Canis lupus familiaris: one gene and its partners. The protein of the gene in region 3 interacts with the protein of the main gene of each other region in a pairwise test. Links are inferred from orthologs where the notes say so. Each region holds a gene or a part of one and is shown on either strand. Other genes may lie near its edges. The genes, in order: INSR, NTRK1 and SH2B1.

What was found.
Region 1: the proteins of SH2B1 (region 3) and INSR interact in binary tests that used the Homo sapiens proteins (3 or more experiments, as listed by UniProt). The link is inferred for Canis lupus familiaris from reciprocal best matches to the Homo sapiens genes SH2B1 and INSR.
Region 2: the proteins of SH2B1 (region 3) and NTRK1 interact in a two-hybrid assay, tested with the Homo sapiens proteins (2 studies listed by BioGRID). The link is inferred for Canis lupus familiaris from reciprocal best matches to the Homo sapiens genes SH2B1 and NTRK1.

The regions. Positions count from the first base shown.
Region 1 is NC_049241.1:52,431,264-52,434,911, reverse strand, and holds part of INSR (insulin receptor), read left to right. Parts: intron 1-1,593; coding exon 1,594-1,723; intron 1,724-2,062; coding exon 2,063-2,197; intron 2,198-3,648. UniProt on the Homo sapiens protein: Receptor tyrosine kinase which mediates the pleiotropic actions of insulin.
Region 2 is NC_049228.1:41,123,320-41,126,967, forward strand, and holds part of NTRK1 (high affinity nerve growth factor receptor), read right to left. Parts: intron 1,047-3,648; coding exon 806-1,046; intron 447-805; coding exon 288-446; intron 1-287. UniProt on the Homo sapiens protein: Receptor tyrosine kinase involved in the development and the maturation of the central and peripheral nervous systems through regulation of proliferation, differentiation and survival of sympathetic and nervous neurons.
Region 3 is NC_049227.1:18,541,052-18,544,474, reverse strand, and holds part of SH2B1 (SH2B adapter protein 1), read right to left. Parts: coding exon 3,182-3,423; intron 2,731-3,181; coding exon 2,629-2,730; intron 2,384-2,628; coding exon 2,292-2,383; intron 2,183-2,291; coding exon 2,007-2,182; intron 1-2,006. UniProt on the Homo sapiens protein: Adapter protein for several members of the tyrosine kinase receptor family.

The DNA of each region.
Region 1 (3,648 bases), on a different chromosome or scaffold from region 3:
TTGTCTGGCCTTCTGCTTTGAAGCATGTGGCCCAGGCCAGGTTCGATTTCGGAAGGGGTTGTCTGACCCAAGCAGCTCAGCTTTTTCCAGTAGTGCAGAGCGGGCCCCTGGTCCTCACACTGTAGTTTAATTGCATTTGCACGTGGGCGTGCGTGTTTACTGCTCTGCATAACTGTGTTCCCCGTCAGTGGAAGCCACCACTCTAGGAGCCCATAGATGTGACTGGCGATGGATAAGTCGCCACGATTTTCCTGCCCTCATGCAGGAGGTGCTCTTTATCTGCATCCCCCAGCCCCTGGGTAGCCCCTGGCCACCTGTGGCCATTTACATTTAAGGTAACTTAAATTAAATAGAATTGGAAATGTGTTCCTTGGCTGCACTGGCCACATTTCAAGCGCTCAGTCGCCACCTTGAGCCTGCTGGCTGCCATATCGGGCCATGTAAATGTAGACCGTGTTCATCATCATCACAGAACGTTCCACTGGACAGGGCCATTCAAGGGTGAACAGTAACATAGAGCTTGTATAAACAAGATAAGGAAGGCTGGGAAAGGAGTCCTGAAGGGAACACAGAGTTCCTTCGTAGAGAGGAGACACCTCTCTCTGCAGGGAGGCAGGCTTTGGGCCAAAACTTGTAGGATGAGTTGACCTGAATGACAGCATGCCAGGGGGCACTCCAGCATATGCCAAGGCCTGAGGCCAGAAGGATGGTTGATGTGGGGTGAATTTAGAGGAACGTGGAGGAGAACAGACCAGAATGAGATGTGAGGTTAGGGAGAGAGGCAGGAGGCAGACCTGGAAGGGCCTTATTAGTCAATTAGTCACCGAGGTATCATCCCAAGGAGCCAGTAGGAAGCTAGAAGTGATGTGATCCTATTTATGACCCCAAAACGACATTATCAGCAAGGGAAGCCAGAAGTGGTGGCATCCTCCTTATAATCCCCAAAGACCTCTTCCCTTAGCCATGGGAAACAAGAAATAGTATGATCCTGTAGCTTCTCTTGTGCAGTGGACTGTCCGGGTCAGGATGGGGGGAAGGTCCTGCAGGTGAAACTGGCAGTGAGCCTGGGGCGGGGCTGGAGTGATGGAGAGGAAGAGTTGGATTAGAGCAGGATGTGGAAGAAGAGTGGGTAGGACGCGCTGCTGTTGTAGATGTGGGTATGAGGAGAGAGGTCAAAAGGGGACCCAATCCTGGGTTTTAAGCTGGGCATCTGGGTGGTGGGGGGCCCATACCTAGCAGAGAAGAGCATGTTGGCTGCAGAGACCCAAAACTTCGGTTTGGGATAACTGCAAGGTCATGGGTGGGAAGGAAGTATTGCTGAGAATGGGATTCCCAGGCTGTGGGCCAGAATGTTGCTTCTTGGCCACTTGGTGCTTCCTTATCCTTCCCCTTACCTGGTGGTCCACTCTCTCCCTCTATTTCCCCATGAGTACCCTCAGAATCCATTCTCACTGGACTTGACCGCCACCTAGGTGAGCATACACCTGGGGCAGGTGAGCCCATCTGAAGGTTCTCCAAGGCATGGGGCAGTAAATATGGAGACACCTGGACTGTAGGCTAAGGGTTAAGACCATGTGAATCATTTGTTGTCAGACTTTGGGATGACCAGAGACATCTATGAGACGGATTACTATCGGAAAGGAGGCAAGGGTCTGCTCCCCGTGCGGTGGATGGCACCGGAGTCCCTGAAGGACGGGGTCTTTACCACTTCTTCTGACATGTGGTGAGTTGTGCATGGATTGGCGGACAGAATGCTGGGCTTGAATACCAGGTCCTCCCACCAGTGTGACCGGCAAGAGGGGGCCAGTTAAAACCCGCCTTCCTTCCTCATAGGCTCTTGATCCGGGAAGTGAAGGGGATGTCCTGTCTGAGGACCCTTGCACGGCTACTTGTGATCCGATTGACACTAATATAGGCATTTCTGAATGCAGCATGAATTGTTTAATTAACTGGCCAACCGCGTTCTAGGAAACCAAGAAAGGGGGCATGTGTTTGTGTGTGTGTGTGTGTGTGCGTGTGCTCTAATGGCTTTTTTGTTACTACTTTCAACTGTCGTTGGCAGGTCCTTTGGCGTGGTCCTTTGGGAAATCACCAGCTTGGCAGAGCAGCCTTACCAAGGCCTGTCTAATGAACAGGTGTTGAAATTTGTCATGGACGGAGGGTATCTGGATCAACCCGACAATTGTCCAGAGAGAGTGTAAGTGTAGAAAGAGTGCAGTGCGCGGGCTCTTCATCAAAAAGGCATCACCCTTTGGTTTGTGTGTCTTACGTCTACACGTGAGCTGGTGTTAGCATGTTGTGTCTTCGCATGGACACTTTTTTGCACATCATACTACATATATGCACGTCACATCTTTACACGTGTGCTGTCTTGCATATCATGTCTGTGGAAGGCTATAAAGAAACCCCACAGCAGTGGTTACCACGGGAGAAGGCAACTGGGTGGCTGGGGTGGGATATTTCTGCTTAACTGTCGATCCTTTATATACTTTACATTTTGTCAGGGAATTAATATAATCTGACATATCAATTATATCTCAACAGAATTGGGAAAAAAAATCATAAGCATAAACATTAGAATTATTTTTTGGTCAGGGAGATGTGTTACCTATCTCCCCACTCCCCCAATTTTTGTTGTAAATTTTAGTCATAGAAAAAACAATTTTTTTTGTTATAGGACCAAGACACACAAACAGGCCATTAAACACTTCCAGACTTGTCCAGTCTTACTAATAGTCTGATAAACATAAAGTAAAATGAAGGAAAATACTATCTTCCTAAATTAGCAAAAAAAGGGAAGGAAGAACAAAAGAAAAGAGAGCTTTAATACTCTGTGCTGGCAGTGGTTTGGCTAGATAATCCTTCTTATCCCCCTGTTGTTAATAGCTGCTCAGAGCAATGTTATTTTAAAATTGTATTTATTTATTTGAGAGAGCGAGAACACATGATCAGAGGCAGAGGGAGAAGCAGACTCCCTGCCAAATAGGGAGCCCGACATGGGGCTCGATCCCAGGACCCTGAGATCACAACCTGAGCTGAAGGCAGACACTTAACTGGCTGAGCCACCAGGTGCCCCTAGAGCAATATTATTTAAAGTCTCAAAAAGATTGAAGTGATCTAAATACCCAGCAACAGGAGAACTGCCAAGTAAATTTATAAATTAAAATGATGTAGCAATTGAAATTTTAAATGATGCTTATAAAAATATTTTACAACTTGGTGGATAAGCCTATGTTAAAATGTTAAGTGTAAAAAGTGTGCATCTATTGTTTCCAAATGTCTCCAGATAGAAAAGGCAAGAGGTGAGATCTGTAGGAGAGTTGAGTGCAAACTAAATTTTCTTCATGTTTTGGTTCTACGAGATTGTTTGCATATAATGTCCTTTATCAATGTTTCTTAAGAAAAAAGTTTCCCCTCCTGGAAAATTCAGGGGGAAAGACCATTTGGAGGCTTCATCCCCCAAAGAATAAGACTGTTAATTTAGAAAACTCGTTTGGAAGGGGACCTCATAGGAAAAAGTATGAAGCAGAGTTATTTAGAAACTCTGAGCAGTTATTTCTAAATGTTGCTTCTTGAAAGTCCTTTCCTAGCCATGAGCAGCTGCCTGTAGTTTCAGGACCAGGGAAATGAAGTAGGCCCTAGGGCAGG
Region 2 (3,648 bases), on a different chromosome or scaffold from region 3:
GCAGCCCCTGTCCCCATGCCTGTCCCTCCACCCTGACGGTGCCTACTGCGCCTATACAATGCAGCTAAGGACGGAGTCTGGGCTCCATCCGGAAAGTGCTTTCTTTGAGTCTCCCCCAGGAGCCAGCTGGGCCTGGGCTGGGCGGGTGAGTGGAGGCGAGAATCCAAGAGGGAAGAGGGGAAGAGTGCAAGGAGCCGGGGTGGGGGGTGCGGAGGCAGGCCCCGCGGTCGGTCGCGGCACCGGCTGAGGCAGGGCCGGGGCAGGGCCGGGGCGGCGGGCGGGCTGACCTCGGTGTTGGACAGCTGGTACCAGGGCTGCTTGCCGTAGGTGAAGATCTCCCAGAGCACCACCCCGAAGCTCCACACGTCACTCTCCGTGGTGAACTTGCGGTAGAGGATGCTCTCGGGCGGCATCCAGCGGATGGGCAGCATCGTGCGGCCCCCCACCTGCGGGCGGGCGGGGCGCGTCACTGCGGGGGCGGGGGGTGGGGGAAAGGGGGACCGCGCACCTGGTCCCGCGCCCCCGCCCCGTCATTAAAGATGAATGGAAGGGGCTCTGGGGCCGGCGCTAAGAGGGAAAAACCGACGGTGCAGTCCCTGTGCGCCCCGAGAGCGGAGAAGGCGGGCCGGGAGGTAAGGGGCGGGGAGCCCAGAGCCAGACAGCCCGCGCCCCCACGCCGCCCAGGAAGAGGAGGGCGCGCAGGGGGTGGGGTCGGCAGTGCAGGGGGAGGGGCTGCGAGGCTGGGCGGGGGTGGGGGGCCTGCAGTGCCGGGAGGGGCCTCCGGGCTGGGCGCAAGGACCCTTACGCGGTAATAGTCCGTGCTGTAGATGTCCCTGCTCATGCCGAAGTCCCCGATCTTGACCACCAGTCCCTGGCCCACCAGACAGTTGCGCGTGGCCAGGTCCCGATGCACGAAGTGCAGACCTGCCAGGTACACCATCCCCGCAGCGACCTGGCTAGCAACGGCCAGCAGCTGCCCCAGGCCCAAGGGGCCTGGAGCCACGTCCTCCCCGCCAGCCAGCAACTTGGCGTCGGGCCCGTGGGACCTGCCAAAGAGTGAGGGAGAGAGGGTGGGCTGGGGAGGGAGCCCTCAAGAGGCTGAAGACCCAGATCCTGGGGAGCTGGGGTGGAAGGCAGTGGGGGACTCCAGAGAAGGGAGGAGGGAAGGAACAGAAAGACGAGTCTGCAGGGCCTGGGAGGGGGGCCGCCAGGTGGGCCACCTCAGGAGCCTCCCCCACTGCCCCCACTGCCCCCACTTCCCCCACTTCCCACATCCCCCCAGCCCCCCAGGTCACCTCCTTGAACTCTGAGCCCAGCATCAGGGTTCCCACTGGCCCCTGCCTCTCTTGCCCATGGATACCTCCCACTCTGTCCTCCAGATGCTTAGCTTCCCCTAAGTCTGCCCCTGCCTCCATGAAGGAAAGCTTCCCACCCAGGCTCCGAACCTGAAGCCTGGGGGTCCTCCTGTCTCTCTCCCCTTCACCCTCAATGTTCAGCCTCCCATGGGATCCTTCTTCTTTTCAAGTTTCCAGGATGCCTGCCACCTCCCACTGCCACCACTTCAGATCATTCCTTGATCACCCAGCTCCATTCCCCAGATATTCCGTCTTCTGACTCTAGCCCGAGCCAGTGGCTTTGTGGGTACTGCCCCTTCCCACAGGCCAACTTTCTCATCTCTTTATTTCTTCCTTTATGGCAGAGGCTTCCTAAACACCTCCGGTGTGCCAAGCACCGGAGCTACAGTAGAGAATGGGATACAGATAAACAGGGGCACCTGATGGGCACTCAGGCTAGGGATGAAAGAAGTCAGAGGAGACTTCCTGGAGGAAGAGACATTTAAACTGAGATTCAAGGGACGCCTGGGTGCCTCAGTGGTTGACTATCTGCCTTTGGCTCAGGGCCTGATCCCAGAGTTCCAGGATCCAGTGCTACATCGGGCTTCCTGCAGGGAGCCTGCTTCTCCTGCATATGTCTCTGCCTCTCTCTCTGTGTGTCTCTCATGAATAAATAAATAAAATATTAAAAAAGAAAAAGAAAAGAAAAAAAGGGGGCGCCTGGGTGGCTCAGTCTGTTAAGCATCTGTTTGCCTTCAGCTCAGGTCATCCTGAGGATCCAGGGTCCTGGGATCAAGCTCCACATCAGGCTCCCTGCTCCGTGGAGAGCCTGTTTCTCCCTCTCCCTCTGCTGCTCCCCCAACTTGTGCTCTCTCTCTCCCAAATAAATAAACAAAATCTTAAAAAAATAAACTGAGACTCAAACCCTGAAGAAAAGGGGTGAATAAGCCATTTAAAAGCATCAGAGATGGGCAGCCTGGGTGGCTCAGTGGTTTGGCGCCGCCTCCAGCCCAGGGCATGATCCTGGAGACCCGGGATTGAGTCCCACGTCAGGCTCCCTGCATGGAGCCTGCTTCTCGCCCCGCACCCCCATGAATAAATAAATAAAATCTTAAAAAAAAAATAAAAGCATCAGAGACAGAGAGGTAGGTGAAGTGGCTGGGAGAGAGACCTGATGTACCAGGCAGAGGGAACTGTAAGTGCAAAGGCCCTGGGGTGAGAAGGAACAGATAGGCTTCCTAGGGAATACCTTCCAGACTCATCCAGGAGCCTTCATGATTCCCTCCTTTGGGTCCCTGTATTCTATCCAGTATTGAGAGCCACTTCTCCCACATCCTGGGCCCCAGATGGTGGCATGTCCCTGGCCTGCATCCCAGGCACTCAGCACTGAGCCGATGCAGTGTCTGGTGAGCAAGGGAAGGGCCTCCTGTCTGGCTTCCTGTTGACTCCAGTCTACTGAGCCCAATGGCTCCACGCTCATCGTGGCGTCTCCCATCACCTGCCTCCTGCTCCCCACTGCCACTGGCTTCTCCTCCCCCTCCACAGACCTCTTAAGGTCTCCCCCAACTGAATTCTGCAGCCTGTGTGAGTGACCCTTCACTCCCAAAGGGGTGTTTGGAGACCACATCTGGACATGAACTGGACAGTCACACAGCACTTTCTCATCCAGAACCACAGTCCCCCGCTGAACCTCTTCTGGCAGGAAAACTGAGGCCAGAGAGATAGGCTACTTGGCTCAGCTAGGAGCTCACAGCTAAGTGTAAGCCTGGCCCTCCCCCTGCCTGCCTCACATCTCATACTGTCCCATCCTGGGGAAGGCGGGGATTCTCACCCAAGAAGGACTCAACAAAGGGAACCTGTGACGATTGCAGTCAGGGGTTGAGAGGAGACCATACTCCACCCTGGGCCATTTATTACCTGTGTGCCCCTGGGCAAGCCACTTAAGTCTCTTCTGTGAAACGGGCACATTTCTTGACACTATTAAAATTATCTGAACAGGGCCACCTGGGTGGCTCAGTGGTTGAGCATCTGTGTTTGGCTCAGGTCATGAGCCCAGGGTCCTGGGATTGAGTCCTGCATCGGGTTCCCCACAGGGAGCCTGCTTCTCCCTCTGCCTATGTCTCTGCATCTCTCATGAATAAATAAATACATAAAATATTTTAAAAATAAAATAAAATAATTGGCACAAACTAGTAAACACATCAGCATTGTTCTGTCCAAAGCAAAAGAAATGAATTTTTAGTGACTTTCTTCAAGTAAAAATTGCCAGACATGCTTGAAACTATGAAGAATACATATCTATTTACACTATTAT
Region 3 (3,423 bases):
ATGACAGCGATTGTTGCCGGGATTGGGGGAAGAATCCTGCAAGTATTCTCACATTAAAAAGTGTCTTTTTTTTTTTTTTTTAAAGATTTCATTTATTTATTCATGAGAGACAGAGAGAGAGAGATGGGCAGAGACACAGGCAGAGGGAGAAGCAGGCTCCATGCAGGGAGCCCGATGTGGGACTCGATCCCGGGTCTCCAGGATCACACCCTGGGCTGAAGGTGGCACTAAACCGCTGAGCCACCGGGACTGCCCAAAAGTGTCCTTTTTTGGCCTACAGGACAAAGTCCCCAAGTCTCAGAGGCATCAAAGATCCTCCTATTAATCAGCCCAACCTCCCCACCTTGATGTTCACATTGGCTTATATTCCTGGAGTCTCCACATGAGCTTGATCATCCCGCCCGATTTTCCCAAGCTCCCAGGCTCTCCCCACCTTAGGTCTGGCTCTGGCCATTTGCTTCCTCTAAGCCCTGTTCTCTCTCACCTCCCCTGTGTGGTATCCTGTCTATCCCACTTTCCTCGATTCCCTTCTTCCTCTGAGCTCCCACAGTGCTTCCTGCTAGTGCTGCTCAGAGGACACTAGCACAGGCTCTCCATTCTGGAGTCCTACTTTTCAGAGGGAGTGACAGCTTATCAATTCAGCTGGTCTGGGACAAGGAGCTCATCTCGAGCATCTCTGGGTTCCTGCATCCTGCCCCAGACCCTAGCACAGGCTCAGTTGTGGACTAGGGCATTCCTGAATGTCTGCTGGCTGGCAGGCCTGAGCCTGTGGGAATAGGCTGAGCACATAGTCAGTGCTCAGAAGACAGGTGTATGTGGGGTATGGAGAGCAGGGGGGCAGAGAGCAGACTTGCATAGCCTTGGTCTTTTTCAGGGGCTTTCGGGTACCCTCAGAAAAGCCATTTCCCAGGGATGTTTGGGTGGCTCAGTGGTTGAGCACCTGCCTTTGGCTCAGGGTGTGATCCTGGAGTCCCCAGATCGAGTCCCACATTCGGCTCCCTGCATGGAGCCTGCTTCTCCCTCTGCCTGTGTCTCTGCCTCTCTCTCTCTCTCTCTCTCTGTCTCTCATGAATAAATAAATAAAAATATTAAGAAAGAAAGAAAGAAAGAAAAGAAAGAAAAGCCTTTGCTTCTCCCTGGTCTTAGCTGCCTGAGGGGCATAGAACCGATGACTTGTAAGGTCCATCTTAGCTCCAAGACTGTTCAATCTGTTTGTTTACTCAGTGAGCACAGCCAGGGTGCCAGGCACCACTGAACCTCCACTCGGAATAGAGGAGCAAGACAAAGGGAATAATAGAGTCTAAAAAGGTGAGAGCTGGGCCAGGCAGACACATGTCTCTGGGCATACCTGTGTGCAAGTCGGGCTGTGTATGTTCAGTCAGGCCAAGAAATAAAGAGTCAAAAACATCTGGTTTTTGACTGAAAAACATCGACATACCTACAGAGATGCAGAGTAAAAGCAAAACAAAGACGTGTATGAAGTGTTCCAGAAGCTTGGGAAAGAGAGTCGTTATCTCCAGCCAGAGTGGAGGTCTGCACGAGCTTTATAGAAAAGGAGCAGGGATCCCTGGGTGGCTCAGCGGTTTAGCGCCTGCCTTTGGCCCAGGGTGCGATCCTGGAGTCCCAGGATTGAGTCCCACATCAGGCTCCCTGCATGGATCCTGCTTCTCCCTCTGCCTGTGTCTCCGCCTCTCTCTCTATGTGTCTATCATGAATAAATAAATAAATCTTAAAAAAAAAAAAAAAAAGAAAAGGAGCAAAGGCTGGGTACGGAAGGCTGGAAGGGAGTTTGCTTGGGGCTCGTGCAAGGTGGTGATGGTGATGATTCTAAGTGGCCAACTGTGGCAGGGTACGTTTTGGGACAAAAGCCAGACATTCGGTGTGTAGGGGGTGCAGCTGAGGGGCAGGAATGGGGTGCGCAGTTGAGTTTGGAAGGAAGTCCTGGGCCTGGCACGGGGGGCGGGGGCGGCTTTGAGGTTCCCAGCCCTGTGAGGTTCCACCCTTACCCTGCGACAGGCGATCATTGCTCTCACTGGGTCCCAGCAGCAGATCCTGGCTAGGCAGACTCTCTGAGTGATTGAGACAGGGCAGCTCCAGGCTGTCTGTGTTCTCCCGTGTAAGGAATGAGGTCCCAGGGGCCAGGGGGAGGGTCATAGGGCGGGGACTGGTGGAAGGGCAGGGTCTGCAGAGACAGGGAGAATGGTGCTATGAAGAAACTCAGCAGGTGAGAGGCACAAGGCTGCTCCCCATCCCCTCCTGATCCCCTCAATGACAGCAGTCAGGCTCCTCACCCTGGGCTCAGGCATTCTTGGATGTCAGACACCCAGGCCTTCACATGTAGAGCATCGGTTGTCTCCAGGATGTACTCGGAGGGGCCTTCCACCTACGAGGACAAGAGGAGGCCCACAGGCCACTTCCAGGTCCAGAGGCTATAAGCCTCCCTTAATAAGAACAAAAACATCCTCCTCCTGTTCCCTCCTGCTAGAGAAGCTACAGCCCCAGGGACACACTCTCAAGGCACTTGACACACAGGCACCTCCTTCCACAAAGTCCCTTCCTTCAATGAGCTACGTGAACTTCTTCCCCAACACAAGTGCTCCAAAGGGGGCAGGAGCTCGGAGCTCCTACCTTAACCACAAACGTATTCTCCCGGTCAGGCATCTCCAGGGCTGTTGTTGTCCGCACGTCCGTGATGGTAGAGCAGGGAATGCTGAGTCGAGGCCGAGACGCCTAAGTTGGGAAAGAGAACAGGATCCAAACTTTTGGTGTGCAGGAACCACCTTTCACTTCCTTCCAGAGACCCATCTTTCCTTCTATGCCCTAAGGGGGTTAGACAAAGGGTCATAATGTTATTTTTCCAGCCCTGCCCACAACTACTACCCCAGAGTCAGAAGCTGGCTTTAAAAACCAAAGTGAGGGGATGCCTGGGTGGCTCAGTTGGTTAAGCGTCTACCTTCGGCTCAGGTCATGATCCTGGGGTTCTGGGACTGAGCCCTGCATTGGGCTCCCTGCTCAGTGGGGAGTCTGCTTCTCCCTCTACCCCTCCCTCTGCTCATGCTCTCTCTCTTACATACTCTCTCTCTCAAATAAATAAAAATCTTAAAAAAATCAAAGTGAGCAAAACTATGCACATGGGCTCAACTGCCCCGCTCCCGGGTACCCACCCTTGTCGGAGCCTCACCTTAGGCGGTACAAAGAACTCCAGACGACTTCCTCCTCCTCCTTCTCCTTCACTTCGGAGCAGTAAGCGACACTTCTGCCACTGAGGCTGCCCTCCTCCCCCTGAGGTAGGCCCGGCTGCCCCTCCTCCCCGGCCCATTCCTGCTGGGTCAGGGGCTGCCTCTTCGGCCCCCATGAAACTCAGCAGCTCTTCCCTCTGCACCATCCCCGCTCCGTCCTTCAAGGCGCCCCCTCCCCGACTGA